Linked DNA regions of Caenorhabditis elegans. The protein of the gene in region 1 purifies or fractionates together with the protein of each later gene. This does not show direct contact. Each region holds a gene or a part of one and is shown on either strand. Other genes may lie near its edges.

What was found.
Region 2: the proteins of rpm-1 (region 1) and ppm-2 purify together in Caenorhabditis elegans (affinity purification with western blotting; one study listed by BioGRID). This does not show direct contact.

The regions. Positions count from the first base shown.
Region 1 is NC_003283.11:8,815,023-8,822,415, reverse strand, and holds the start of rpm-1 (E3 ubiquitin-protein ligase rpm-1), read left to right. Parts: upstream 1-2,460; coding exon 2,461-2,647; intron 2,648-2,715; coding exon 2,716-2,939; intron 2,940-3,380; coding exon 3,381-3,814; intron 3,815-3,952; coding exon 3,953-4,397; intron 4,398-4,543; coding exon 4,544-4,688; intron 4,689-4,739; coding exon 4,740-7,393. Other genes in the region: C01B7.7 (T20D4.11-like domain-containing protein), read left to right, coding at 39-455, 497-550.
Region 2 is NC_003281.10:4,646,899-4,655,582, forward strand, and holds ppm-2 (putative protein phosphatase 2C T23F11.1), read left to right. Parts: upstream 1-3,595; 5' UTR 3,596-3,599; coding exon 3,600-3,702; intron 3,703-4,024; coding exon 4,025-4,315; intron 4,316-4,866; coding exon 4,867-5,091; intron 5,092-5,139; coding exon 5,140-5,285; intron 5,286-5,335; coding exon 5,336-5,410; intron 5,411-5,788; coding exon 5,789-5,872; intron 5,873-6,085; coding exon 6,086-6,155; intron 6,156-6,209; coding exon 6,210-6,286; 3' UTR 6,287-6,988; downstream 6,989-8,684. Other genes in the region: dbd-10 (DB domain-containing protein), read right to left, coding at 131-337, 566-721, 864-938; T23F11.2 (Major sperm protein), read right to left, coding at 7,458-7,738, 7,788-8,260, 8,497-8,504.

The DNA.
Region 1 (7,393 bases):
TTAAAATATTTTTGTTTATAATAACATTATTTTCTTAGAGAATGCAAGATTTCCTGGAGAAAATTGATGCACTTGACCTAGACAATAAAGAAGAAACAAATGATTTTAAAGGCTCCTGTGACTCTCTTCACAACTGTTTTGATGCTCTTGATTGTCAAACTTCATCAACTGATCACGAAACCTCTGATATTTCTGGAATGATCAAAACCTATTGTGATACCATCATTTACATCTCCACAAAGTTTGTTGAATGTAGTGATAAATTAGAAGAAAAAAGCTCGCAATGCTTTGAAAACTGGGATCCATTTCCAAATGATATCGAAAAAGAAACTGATCAAAAGAAAAAGGAAGAAATGAGAAAATCTGCATGCCAAAACTTTTTTGGAAAAGATAATTGTTTGAAAGAAGAAATCGTGAGCTCATGCAGTGAAGGAGAATGGATAGGATTTAGAGATGTAAGATAACTTTTTAATTCAAAAATTATACAATTTTTCAGCATTTCGTTTCATTAAGCAACATTACAAAGCAATGCGATTTTCAAAATCTCTAACATGTATCCATGTATCCAGTTTTTCATAATTTTCAGTCATATGTGAACTTATTGAGTGCCTTCTGTTTATACAATTTGGATTGTTTAAATAATTATGAAATTTCATTTTTTCGATAAACATTGCAATTTTATTATATTTTTATAACAATAAAAATATGTGAACTTTTTGAACTATTTTGATTGTTTTAAATGGATTTTTTCAAGAGTCTCAATTATTTTCAGAAATTTTTAATAAATTATATTTAACAAAATAGATCAGTATAGACACTCTTGATGAATATCAGATGTTTCAGCAGTTGACAACATTGAAAGACATAACACTAGATCAAAAGTATTCAATTTTAATAGTTTTGGATACGCCACATTAATAAAATAATTTGCTGCAATAAAGTTTTAAAAAAACTTGATAAAATTTGGTGCTTATACGATTAATCACATACGTCACTGTTTACACCTTTCTTAATCCAAGATTTATTTATGTACCTACGTCTATTTTCGAATAGCTGAAAACAACTTTTCTATTTCAGTATACATATTTATATTTCAGATTGTTAATAACACTGCCATCAAACTCTTATAACAGGTAAATTTTAAGGTACTTAATACATACCGTATTTTAGAATATTGTTCAGATATCCCACAGCAAAAAAAAACAATCTGATTTGGATACCTCTCAAGAAATAACAAAAGCTTCTCCAAGCTGGCATATCTAATTTCAAATCTTTTTCCCTTTTTTCCGGACCCACACCCAATTTTCTCCTTCTTCTGTCCTCATCTCCGCTTTTCGACACTTCTCACAGATACACACACAAATACACGCACGGAGCCCTTCTTCTTCGTCCATCTAGGGACACCCGTCCCTTGCTCTCCGTTTCCATCTCCTTGCGTCCTATTTCTCATGTCTGACCGGCTGTCCATTACAAGCGAGTCTGTCTCCAACAAAGACAACACTATGTCTCGTTCTCTTTTCTCCGTTTTGGTTTCATCTCACTTTCTGTGTCTCTCTCACTTCTCTTCCTTTCTCAACAAAACGGGCGCATACCCTTTTACGGGGGGTGGGACCTTCTTCTCTTCGTCTCTTCTATGAATGTCCCTCGATTTTCGCAGATCAGCAAAATGATTCGGACAGGAAACTTAATTTCCCGGAGTTCTAGATTTTGTTCATTTATTTAAAAAAAACGTTTTTGTCTCGGAGAAATATCGTTTTGTGATCGGACAGAACAAGGGATAGGCACGTGGTTTGTGAGCGAACGGAAAACAGTAAAGTCTGTCAATATTGCTTTTGCTCGGCTTTATACTTTTTTATTCCTTGGTGAACAAAAATCTTTCACAATTTTCCCTTTTTCCTCTTTTCTTGTAATTTGGGTAATTTTCATTCAAACGCCTATAATATTTACGATAATTGAAAATTCAAAAAAAATTTCTTCAATTGGAGTTGGATTATCGTACCTAAATTATTCTTGAATAAGCGATCAAAGTAATTTCGCTTTCCTGCTAACTTCATCCGATTTTCTTCATTTTTTAAAGCTGCGATATGATTCGAACCTTTTTTTTGTCAAACTTTCAAATATTTTGTGACAAAAAGTAAGGATAAATGTTAAATTATTGCAATTTTCTTTCAAATCTTAAAAAAATCAAGAAAAATCCCACTGGCGCTACGTTCAAAATCACATCTGCGCATATACTAAGCCTGTGATCTTAAAATTTAGTTATTGTTTCATGGTTTTCTTTTCCTTCAATTTTCCTCATATTTCCTGAATGCACATAATTGCAGAGAAATTGACGCCTCAGAGTTTCTCTGTTATTTTTTTTTCTAAATGCCACAGTTAAATTTTTCAGATCACTAATGATGAGAATCAATCTATCCACAATATTTAACCAATTTTATTAACTTTCCAAAGAATATCCAAATGTCGTTCTTCTTGCGAGAAATTGATGGTGAACGAGTGTGTTCCACGAGCACCGAAACGTCGATTCCTGAAGATAGGAAAAGTGCACGAAGACTGAGAAAATTGCTATACAAATGTGCCGAGAACACATGCAAACCGGATATTCTCAGGGTTCCAGCACATTGCGGGAAACTCGATAAAGAAGAAGGTTAGTATATTTTTTTGTAGTTTGGAGAAGTATAAAATAATAAAAATAAAAATAATTTTTAATTTCAGAGAAATCCAAAACACCTCTGGACCAGCAACAACAAATTAATTTTCATGATATTCTGAACTCAAAATTTGTTGTGGGACCACCTTCGCCTTTTGCTTTAGTAGCAATTGCCAAATCAATTCTTGCACGGTTTGGGAATCCAGAAGAAGTTTCTGAAAAAGAAGATGGAAGCGAAGAGGAAGCCGGAACCAGTGGAGCTGATGAAGAGGGAAAGCAATACAAAAATGTGAGTTTTTATAATGTTAAAAAGTATTAAATGAAAAATACATTGAAATTTCTAATTAAGTTTCAAAGTCAACAGCCAAATTTTTTCTAAATTTTTTTTCGAAACGTAGTTAAGAAGCTTGCAAAACTGGGACATAGGTCGGCAAGGAAACCAGAAAAAACAATTATGAAACCGTGTTTTACACATTGACGATATCCCCCCAGCTAGATTCAAAATTGTTTCCTTTTTAAACGCTAAAAATAGAATATGGTTTGAAAAATAATTATTTGAAATTGAACCGGTGAGTAATAAAACAATTTTGGAATACTAAATTACCATAAATTTCAAAATGGAACTGAACATATAACTCTACAACTTTTTGGAACCCGTGTGTGAAATACTTTTTCTTATTAAAAACTGTTTTAAAAGGTGAAAAATGGTTCAGCTCTCATGAATTTTCAGACTGATCAGCTGGTTGGAGCTAGTTTAACATGTATCTTCGAAGTTCTCGAGCAATTAAGTCGACGTGACGCCGAACTTTGTGTTCAAGCTCTCGAATCATTGTTATCATTGATCCAATCGATGCCAATCGATTGTCTTCAGTCCGAAAACCGTTTATCAATGTCTGCAATGATGCACGTTCTGAAAACGCTTCGAGAAGATGCCTGTCCCTCAGTGAGCTCAAAAGCTACCTCATGCCTTGTGGCTTTATCAGTTGCATGTGGAGAGCCGGAGCATTTAGGAAGCACAATTCGATCATTAATTTGTATGAAGAAAAATATTCGAATGAGCGCCGATTCGACGTATGATATGATCCAAATGCCAGAAAATTTGAGAAAATTACTACTGAAAGTGAGGAGGAAAGCTTTAGGCGGAGACAACACTGCCAATTCCCCGTGAGTATTTTATTCAAGTTGAAAGTATTCAAATATGTAGTATTGTGTTCACAAATTTCTTCTTTTAGTAGAATTTCTTAGAAGCTTGCAAAATCCCATGATAGTTTTATTAGTATTTTATTAAATGCAAAATTTCAGACCAAACTGGGCAATGGTAGATGTTCACGAGCACTCGGTAGCAAGCAGTTTCAGTCTACCTAGTCTTCCTGATAGCTCTCCGTCTTCCGACACTCCCGACGATGACAATCGAATACATAGCACAATGGCATGTGATGGAACATTTCTCTACATTCTTAATTATGTTGGACTCTACAAGTTGGGGACCGGCCTGAATGAAACAATTTCTGGAAAGTTGTATGCAGCGAATCAGAGTTTACAATCGTCGAAAAATGTGCAAATGTATTTATGCAATGGATCATTGTATTTACGAAGAAATTACTCATCATGCATATCAGTGATTGACACGGATTCATTGTTGGATATTGGAGAAGTGATTCTACCACCAAGTTGTGTACAACATGCACTGTTCACGGATGGAACATACTTTTACAGTGCAACTCTGATTGCCAATTCTACACTATCGGTAGGATTTATTCTCTCAAATTAAAAATTAAGATATTTAATTGAAACTATTTTTAAACACTTTTAATCGTGAAAATTCTACTTATTGTTAGAAATAAAAACACATAACATGACAGCTCAAAAAAGTTTATAAATAACATATTTCAGACAATTCAACTAAATGATTCATTTTCCCCTTCCAATGAGCCATCATCACGAAGAAGTCATCGACTCACTGATGTGAAGTTCACGATTCAAGGAGATCTTCAAGTTCCTCACCAACTCCCCGAATTTCTACCTGCAAACCTTCATCGTAAGAATAGTAGTTTTGTTTACATGGAAATTTGAACATATCAATTTTCAGCTCAAACTGTTGATCTTCACTTCACTCGAGAAATGGCATTCATTCAAGCTCGCTCTGGAAAAGTGTACTACGCTGGAAACGGGACAAGGTTCGGATTATTTGAAACTGGGAACAACTGGATGGAACTGTGTCTTCCCGAGCCAATAGTTCAAATTTCTGTTGGAATTGATACAATAATGTTTCGTTCTGGTGCAGGGCATGGTTGGATTGCAAGTGTAGACGATAAGAAAAGAAATGGAAGACTACGTCGACTTGTTCCATCTAATCGCCGGAAAATTGTTCATGTTTGCGCCTCTGGTCATGTCTATGGATATGTATCTGAAAATGGAAAGATTTTCATGGGAGGACTTCATACAATGAGAGTGAATGTTTCAAGTCAAATGTTAAATGGACTGGATAATGTGATGATTTCTTCATTAGCGCTTGGAAAATCTCACGGTGTTGCTGTGACTCGAAATGGCCATCTTTTTACATGGGGATTGAACAATATGAATCAATGTGGAAGAGTTGAATCAACTTCAACCACGTCTTCTCCAAGACATTCCGGTCGTCAAGAGTATCAGATTTGTCCTATCGGAGAACACACGTGGCTAACTGACACACCCTCGGTATGTGCTCAATGCGGGCTTTGCTCCGCACGAGGAGTAGCATGTGGAAGAGTTCCTCGACCAAAGGGAACCATGTGTCATTGCGGTGTTGGAGAGTCAACATGCCTTCGATGTGGACTTTGCAGACCATGTGGAGAGGTTACAGAACCAGCACAGCCTGGTAGAGCTCAGCATGTGCAATTCAGTTCAACAGCTGCTCCTCAAAGAAGTACTCTACATCCGTCACGTGTAATTTTAAGTCAAGGACCTCATGATGTAAAAGTTTCAAGCGTAAGCTGTGGAAATTTTCATACAGTACTTCTTGCATCTGATCGAAGAGTTTTCACTTTTGGATCCAACTGCCATGGCCAATTAGGAGTTGGAGATACACTTAGCAAAAACACTCCGCAGCAAGTCATTCTTCCATCTGATACAGTTATAGTCCAAGTTGCCGCTGGTTCAAATCACACAATTTTGAGGGCAAATGATGGAAGCGTTTTCACATTTGGTGCATTTGGAAAAGGTCAGCTAGCACGACCAGCTGGCGAGAAAGCTGGATGGAATGCGATCCCTGAAAAAGTTTCTGGTTTTGGTCCTGGATTCAATGCATTCGCTGGATGGATCGGAGCCGATGGTGATTCTTCAATCATCCATAGTCATACAGCTTTATTATCTTCTGATAATATTCTGAAAGCTCAAATTGTTGCAAACAAAACGAATATTTTCATTTTCCCAAGAGAAGTTGGTAAAGACTACATTGTAATAAGACGAAAGTTGAATGTTTTTGAACATCATGCGAGCGATTACAAATGTTGGTATACATCATGGGCCACTGATCCGAAGTATGACATGCTGTGGTATTACAATTCAGCAGAAATGGAAATCAAAGGATATGACATTTTCAAAAAATCTGAAAAATCTGTGGGCGATGCATTTGATTCCCTAACTTTCCTAGCTGGTGCCGAATTTGCTGTCCAAGTGTACGACAGTCCTGCTTATGCAACTTCGATGAGTCTTGGAATGCAACTTTTATCAGCAACATTCTCAGCAAATGTTATCAATTTATCTGAATTCTGGAAGGAAAAACATGGGGAACGAGAACAGGATCACGAGAAAACAATTATGGATGGTTATTCAGTTGCAAATCGATTTGATGGTACGGGAGGTGGTTGGGGATACTCGGCAAATTCTGTTGAAGCTATCCAATTTAAAGTCTCCAAGGAAATTCGATTAGTAGGAGTTGGGCTGTATGGAGGACGAGGAGAATACATATCGAAGCTCAAGTTATATCGACAAATTGGAACAGAAGCTGATGAGTTATATGTGGAGCAGATCACTGAGACTGATGAAACAGTTTATGATTGTGGAGCACATGAGACTGCAACTCTTTTATTCTCACAACCAATAGTTATTCAACCAAATCATTGGCATGTAGTCAGTGCAAAGATAAGTGGTCCTTCTTCTGATTGTGGAGCAAATGGAAAACGTCATGTCGAGTGCGATGGAGTAACATTTCAGTTTCGAAAATCTGCTGTGTCAAACAATGGAACTGACGTAGATGTTGGACAGATTCCGGAGCTGTATTATCAAATTGTCGGTGGATCTGAAAGTCGTGACGAATCGGATTCGAATAAACAGCTGTCAATCAGTAGAGACATGTCAAATCTCTTTTCACCTGCTGCACTGAAAAATGTCACAGCGGAAGGAATTGGTAATTTGCTGATACTTTTGGAGTGGGCTTTACAACGCGTTCAAATTGATGAAGATACAAACAATCAAGTTGAAGGAAGTGCTGAAAATCAATGGAGTCAGGAAAGAGCAGGATTTGTTGCTATTTTAAGCATGAAGCTTATATCAAGATTCGTAAGAACAGTGTACAAAGAGAAGGGATGTCATGATGAACCAGGAATTGATTTTGCTAATAAGTTGGTAAATCTGCACTCAATGCTCTTAGAATTCTTCTTTTCAACCGATATGACTGGATATGAAAATCGTCCATTAATTAAAAAAGAAGAAAAGGTTGTTGAAGAAGGGTATACTCTGATGAAGTGTGTGTCGGAAGCGGTT
Region 2 (8,684 bases), on another chromosome or scaffold:
TTTGCAGTTTCAGATAACTTTACAGCTGTACAGAAAACCTTCAAAAATTTTATCTTGAATTATCGAGATAAATTTGTGCGAGTTTCTTGAATCAACTTTTCTATTGAAATAAATACATTTTCGAACGTGCCTGTTCACAGCATTCTGTGTGATCCATATTCATAGATGCACAAAAATGAATAGTTCTAAGTGATGAACTTGGACATCTTCTGGGCTCCGCGAGCAGTCGAAAGATGGAAGATTCATTATAAGTCTCAAATGAGCAGAATCCCATGCATCTCTCCGGAAGTAAATTATCCACACAACATTGTTCCATTTTTAACGAGTACTCGGATTCCTGAATTTTGAAGTGGGATTATTTAATTTTCATGAGATTTTTTTTTGAATATTTTTGAAGAAAAAATCTTGAAGAAGTTGGATTTTTTGAAATTATTCAAAAGCAGATTATTGCCAAAGTTAAACAATAGAGAAACAACAAAACTCCGTAAATTCCGAAAAATATTTTAAATACATATTTCAAAACAGAATTTTCTCATAGTTTCAATAAAACTAGAAAAGAACCTACCTCTTCATTCACATATTTAGTTTTACTTGCCAATGCTCTTCCACCAACACATCTATTCAATCGGCAGATATATCCATTTTGGCAGCTGTTTCTTGTTAGGCATTCTCTATGAATTACTGGTGGTGGAAGATTCAAACTATCAAGACTTGGAGGACACTGAACAAATAAGACTTTTTTAATTTAGTGAACTTTTATAGGAGTCGCGTTGATAAATGAGAAAAAATTCAAAAATATTTTAAAAAATTCAAAACAATTCTATCCCGCTTCATACAGAATATCTTTAAAAAAGAAAACTTACAGCATAGCTTAACGTGATCAAAAGAATAAAACGAGAATAAATCGAAAGAACTAAAGTATTACCAGACACTTTCATTTTAGAATCCAAAACTGTGAAGAATATAATTTATACGAAAGACATGAGAAATCCTGAACAAATAACTGCTAAAGAATAATAAAAAGAAGCGGGACACAAACAAAGAATTATGAAAATAAGAATGGTTATTGTTATATGAATCACTAAATATTTGGGAAAAATCGAAAGTTTTGGAAATCGAGAGTTACGAAATTGCTCGTCATAACCGGAAATGAGACGTCAATTATGTTCATGTGAGGACTGATAACATCAACTCTCACAATGAGACATCCTTTCTGTTGCATTTCTGGAACTTTGTTAAAGAATGATGTTGTAAATGTTTTCTAAAATTGTCATTTTTTACAGTTATTTCAAAACATGATCCACGCTTTGATGGTTATTTATATTGCTTGTGTCTCTATTTGCAAATTGCTAAAATATTTTTTTTGAAAATTTAGATATGTGATTTTATAATTGAAGTTTAAAGGAGGAATAACGCTAGTGCAAAATGCCAAAATACTACAAAATAAAAACAAAACAACTGTATCTAGTTTGATGGAAATTGCTAATTTTGGCACATTTTCAATTGTGATAGATGTTCTCGTTTGAATAATGTTATATATTCGAGGCCGAACAAGGAGGCGAAGACGAGTAGTTTATTATTACATAACTAAGGAATGAATAGAAAGTTAGTATACATAGATAATGAGTTCACGTTACACGATCTTCATATCCACGTTGAGGGTTAGGTACACGTAGATACCCAACAAATTACATTTTTCAAAATTTCGTCTAGTCTCCAATTTTCAAAAAAAAAGGTATCATTTCTGTGTAAACATTTATTTCATGTCTTAAATTCAACAAAAATAATTTTCACTTGAAAATTTGAGCCAAAATGGAGAAACTTCAAGTGCGGCACCAAAAAAATGGGCGAGGGTAAATATTAATGATAACTGTGAATTGACCAAAATTGGAGATTTTTCTAACCTCTGATAATATTTTGCTCTGTCATCTCATTTGGGAGGTTTATCATGAAGTCCCAATTGACCGTATTCCACCTTTAAACTAAGCTTGCTCAGTTTTCAAATTTTCTTTCATCCAGAAACCTGATGTGCGTCATTAGTAGCATGTTTGGCAACCGTAATTTCCAAACCACTATTCTTGATAATAATTTGAATGTAAGAAACCATCATCACACAGATTGCAGTGACATTTATTACACAATCTGTGCGATAGTTTGAAAATTGGTCTTTATAGGTTTTGTGTCTCAGATACATCGTTCCTATCTCAATGTTTCATATATCGCTTTGTTCCTTAAGTACATTTATTTCTAAATTGTTGAACATTTTACATGATAAATTCCATAAAGCAACATAAAACAATCACGTCATTTCTAGATTTTTATTGACAAGTACACTGGAACTAGCATATATTATTGAAAATACTTGTTGTTGCTATTTTAAAATTTTGAATTTCAACAATTTTAACAACAACGATACCTTTGTAGTCTTCTGATCACTCTCCCCCAATGATAACCTGGTCAACGTGATAAACTGCCTTGATTTTTCATACGTCGATTAGAGCGCAACTGCATCGGGTTGTTCCCGCACATGAGGGGGTTTCCCCGCACAGCGCCATGTGATTTTCCGTGGTCACAGAAGAAACGGAATGTCTGTGCCTCTCACCTTCACACACTCTCACTACCTATTGATTTTCGCCTGGCAGCCTAGTGTCCGTTTGTCGGTCTTTTCTCTCGTCACTTTTTGTGTCTCGGTATCAATGTTTGTTTCGATGCGACGCGGGGACGTCCAACGACGCAACGAAGAAGAACCGAAACTTGGTGTCACATTTTTATTTCCCGGCCGACCGCCGTTTTTTTCCTGCTAGCACGTGGTCTTGAGACGAAAACTTTTATCGGTTAGAATACAATAAAATCACTGTGCTTGTCTTGCCGTTTTATTTTTTCAACTTTTCTTTATTTGCTGTGAGGGTTAATAGTCGCGGCGGCGGCGGCGGCGGGCATTTTGGATACAACATTTTTGAAAATTGGGAATCATTTTTGAAATTATCGAAATTTAAATTTGGGAACATCATGTAGTTGTTTCGCAATTTTTCTTCGGAAATAAACTTCCCAAAAGAAAATATGAGCAAGTGATTTAGAAAACCAGGCCTGATACTTTAAATAAACTCCTTGTAGATCTTTCGTCGTGAGACCCACTCGCTAACCACGTTGCGCCTTTAGTACAGTACTACTATTCTTTTTCAATTTTTATTCAAAATTATGCAAATTTCATCATCGATTTTGAACTTTGCTCCGTTAAATTTGTGATAATACAATTTTTCGAACAATTCAAAAAATTTATCAGTAACTTCTTTTTTGTTGGAAAATAGACTATCGAAAAATTCCATAATTTTCTTCTGTCTCTCGGAAACGCTTTCCATTTTATCTTTTGATCACGTGACACACGTTCTATCAGTCTTTCCTTATTGAAGAACAGGTAGCATTGAAATTGTGATAACCTTACGCCCCCTTCGATCATTTTTCGTTCAAATATTTTCGCATTTTTTTCGTCTTTTCATCTCTTTCCCATTTTTCTATCGTTCAAACATCATAATTTTCCCGCTGAAAGTACTGTTTAGTGCACTTAGACTGAAATAAAATAAAAATCAATTTTCAGAAGTATGGGACAAACACTCAGTGAGCCAGTTACTAAAAAAGAGTCGGCGTCATGCGCCAATGAGAATTATTTGGTCGGTAGCAGTTGTATGCAGGGATGGAGAGTTGGTAAGAAAGTTATCAGAGCAAAAATGTGATAAAATAAATTAGGATATTTAGGAATTTAGGATATTGTTAAGCGTTTACTTCCATTTTAAACGTTTGTAATCAAGAAATAACATAGCGAAATTAATTTGTTTTAATGTTTAGTCTAAATTAAAAAAAAAAATCAGCGAATATTAGTCCCTTTCTCTTCAGACAGAACTCCTTAGCTCATTTTCATCATTTTCATCATTTTTAGGTACTTAGCGACTTGAAAATCCATTAGCTTCACTATCTTCAAAAATGATAATTAGTTCAATAAATTGTTCTAAATGTTCTTTTTTTTCAGACATGGAAGATGCCCATACACATCTCCTTTCTCTTCCTGATGATCCAAAATGTGCATTCTTTGCTGTCTACGATGGACACGGTGGATCGAAAGTTTCACAATATTCCGGAATTAATCTTCACAAAAAAGTCGTCGCACAGAAGGAATTTTCCGAGGGAAATATGAAAGAAGCAATCGAAAAAGGATTCCTAGAATTGGATCAACAGATGAGAGTTGATGAAGAGACAAAGGATGATGTTAGTGGAACGACAGCAGTTGTTGTATTGATAAAGGAGGGAGATGTTTATTGTGGTAAGAGACACGGATTTGCACTTTGACCTTGAAACGTCAATGGAAGGAAATTGAGGAAATGTTAAAGACACTGAGTATTTTTCAAAAAAATCACAATACTAAGACTAACAGTTTTCAGTAAAAATCGATAAAAAATTAACTTCCAAGCTTCGAATTTTGCAGTATTAGAATTCATATTGTTCGAAATTTTATTAGATTTTGAACTTTCACGGTATTACAAAAGTTATCTTTAAAAAAGGAGAAAAATTATTGGTACAGAAAATAAAAACACATTTCCATATTTTTTCAAAAATTTTAATTTTTGATTACGCACACATTTGTGATAACTGTGTATCATAAAGTTGTAAAAATCGTACGCTGATTTTTTAATACTTCTGAGTGGGTCCCACCACGATCTCAGCCACAGTAATCCCTACAAGCTTCAAACTTCACAGATTTGTTTATGTGACATAGAAAAAAACGTTGAAATTAAATATTTATTTAAACTGTATAGGGAAGACCAGGATTTAATATTTTTAAATGTCAATTTTTAATTTTTCTCCATTTTTCAGGAAACGCCGGTGACTCTCGTGCAGTATCCTCAGTTGTTGGAGAAGCTCGTCCACTTTCATTCGATCACAAGCCATCTCATGAAACCGAAGCTCGACGTATCATTGCCGCCGGTGGATGGGTTGAGTTCAATCGTGTCAATGGTAATTTGGCACTTTCCCGTGCTCTCGGAGATTTTGCATTCAAAAATTGTGACACAAAGCCTGCTGAGGAGCAAATTGTCACTGGTGAGAATAATTTGAAATTAAAAATTAAAAAAAGTTCTTTAATTTCAGCATTCCCGGATGTGATCACTGACAAGCTGACACCGGATCACGAGTTTATTGTTCTTGCATGTGATGGTATTTGGGATGTAATGACAAATCAGGAAGTCGTAGATTTTGTTCGTGAGAAGCTTGCTGAGAAGAGGGATCCACAATCGGTAAGTTGATTAAAATAAAGTAAATATCTCGTATTCTCTCTCATTTTCAGATTTGCGAAGAGCTTCTCACTCGGTGCTTGGCTCCAGATTGTCAGATGGGTGGTCTCGGATGCGATAATATGACTGTAAGTTTGATTTTTTCAAAAATAAATTTTTAAACACTTTATCAGCTTTATTTTATGTTTTGAAATATAAATATACAGTAAATTCAAACTTCGAAATTTTCATAAGTTTTCGTTAAAACTTTTAATGAGAAACTAAACTGGAACAAAAAAATTTGAAACACTTAAATTTTAACAAATTGTAAGATAATCAATAAAAATCTTTGAAGATTCCAAATCAGCCAAATTTAAAAAAAAACTACAGTAATTTGCAAGATCTTTAGACTATGGTAGTTGAAATCGTGGTGAGACCTACTAAGAAAAACGGCATGTGACTTTAAATTAAAATGTTGAATTTTAACGAAATATACACATTTAAAAAATTTAATATTTATTTTTCAGGTTGTTCTCGTGGGACTTCTTCATGGACAATCCCCAGATACACTTTTCACGAAATGTGCCCGCCCAGCGGTATTTACGGGTGTTGTGAGTTTTTTTTTGAAAATTATTTCTGCTTCTTCCTCTTTTTTTCATTTTTTCAGTAGTTAGTATCACATAAATTTATAGAATTAAACTAGTTTCTCAAAAAGAACACCTTTTTAGAATAGTTGTGCTTCTTCTTCTAAATACTAACCAAATGAATGAATATCTGTGTAAATCAGAAATTCGACGAACAAAACGATGTGTTTCTTTTTGAAGAATAACGAGGATGGAGATCAAAATCAAATTCAGCAAGATATTTCGCGTGTGATAAACAACTTTGATGGAGGTTTTAGTTGAAAAAGCTTCGCGAATTCTCAAAAATTAAATATTCAAATTTCAGAACAACGGGTAAACGCTGCGAATCAAGAAGAAGAGGAGGATGACAATGAACCAGCGCCAGCCAACTTCCAAGTTTAGAAAATTCGCAAAATTTCGGAGTAATATTTGGTGTGTAAATATCGAATATTAAATAACACGATTTCCCCCTGTGATAGTGCTGAATTTACTTTTTTATCTTGCATTGCTTTTGGTTTTTTATATTGCTCAATTATCATGTTTCACAAAAAATTTTCTTCACAAAACAAAAACCACCCAAAATTTAATATTCCTTATAGAGCACGTTAACAATATAATTTTTCTTGCTTTTTATAGCATTTTACTTTCTTTGTTCTTCCCCCATTCTTCATTCACAGATTTTCCGGTTGAAATACCTTTCGAATAATTTCAAAAAAATTTAAATGCCAAAATCTCTCTAGAATTGTAATGAATTGATTGCAGTGAGTTATCTGGAAAAAATTCAGGAATTTCACTACATGAAAAGTTGTCCTCTATTGTTCATCCCGCCAACTTTTGCATATCCCTTTTTCAAATTTTATTTTTTGTCTTATTCCTACTCTCCCATTTTTAATATGATTTTTTATCAGCCGTCCACTTTCCATGACGCGTCTTTGTTTCCCAAGCATTGAAAGTGTGAGATGACTCGTTTTATACTGAAATACTCGAAATATTAGTGCTTCAATGTGTATTAGACAATTGTATTTTCTTCTTTTTGTCTCTTTTCACATTTTTTTGTTCTTCCCATTGATTTTATGATTATGATTAAAAAAATTTATGATTGAATGTTATTCAATTTTTCCTACAAAATAAAAAAGGCAATAACTTTCGACGGTGCAATTGGAAGAAACATGGAAGATCTGAAAATAGGTTATTTTGTGTGATTGCAAAACATTGTAAGACAATGTATGGAAATTTTCGTAAAAATGAAGATCTGGGAGCTACAGTATTATTTTAAAGGCGCACACCTTTCTGTAGGCGCTTCGAAAATTGTTAAGTTACATTCACCGTACCACTGAACTTACCAAACACCGTGTGACTTCATTTAGTTTTTCAAGACAGTTATCAGAAGCCTCATTCCTCCTTGAAATTCCAAGAAAGGCGACGTAATGATCTCCAAAAATGGAAGAGGCATAATTGTCTCTTTAACATTACATGTTTCAGCTTATAGTTAGTGCAAGCTACTGAAAATATTCAAGAAACCCGACCAAGTCAATTTCATTAAATCATACAAAAGTGCCATTCACAGTTCAATCTAAGCTTGAATAGTTGATCCACCACACGGAGTTGCTTCAAGGCACACATTGACATCACTTTTGTTCTTTTTATTAGCCTGAATACGGCAAGCCTTTGAGCTCTTTGCAGAATGATTCGACGAACGGCTTGATCTACGAGAAGATCTCATTGACTGCTTCTCCGGTTGCTTTTCAGTTCCACAGATGTAGTTGGAAAACCAGCATCCTTTGTTCAATTGACGACGTTTGTACTCCTCAACAAATCCCATCATTGAACCAATTGGAACAGCAGTGGAGACATCTGAAATCGAAAGATTTTAATTAGTTTGAACCAAAGCATCAATCTGTACCTCTTTCGATGTTGACTGCAGTTGTAGTGTCCAATTCTTCCACGTCAACCGGATAATCAGTCGACTCGATACACGTGGCATATCCTGGCAAGTTGATGACTGTCTGGGGAGCCGAGAACTGATCCGTGAACTTGACAGACAATGAGAATGCCTCTTGCTCCTTAGTTCCTGCAGTTTTCTTCTGATCAATGAACTGCTTGAGGCTCTTCGCATAGATCGGCAACACGTATCCTTTGATCAAAAGATTCATCTTGTCCCATTGGGAGAGCTTTGATGAGTTCACACGGAACTGGATGGCACGATGAGCCAATGGTGGAAAACGGAAAACTTCCGTTGGGAAGGTGACGGCTTCATTCGTAGCATGCAACTTCAGCAGGAAGTCCTTGCCAGTGGTGTTGCGGAACACAAAGTTCCGTTGAACGATCTCGCGGCCAGTGGAGATGTGCAATTCCGTTGGGTTTGACTTCTTTTGACTGAAATTTTGAAATTTTAGAATTTATAGTTCATTTGCAATGAGCACAGAATGCATCAGTGGGCACAATAAACCCGAACCATCGAAGACAGGGCACAATGCCTAAATTACGAAAACGATAATTCGTAAGGGGCACATTCTGCCTGATTTCGTTGGCGTGCCTCCATAATGTCAATTCTATGAGGTTCTTGATGAACACATCAGGAATTAACTGCGTTGGTAAAAATCTTAACTCACCAGGGCATCTTATTAGTTGATGAGCAGAAGAACGGGCGGTCCGAGTTGCTTTTCAAGTTTCGAAAATCGAGAATAATTGATTTGCATATTGATTGATTGTCTGATAACAAATCGACGACATTGACCTTTGTTAGTGTTTTAAAAGTTAGTTTTTTTTAACGTGAAATTTTTTTTCTGTTTTATGGAGA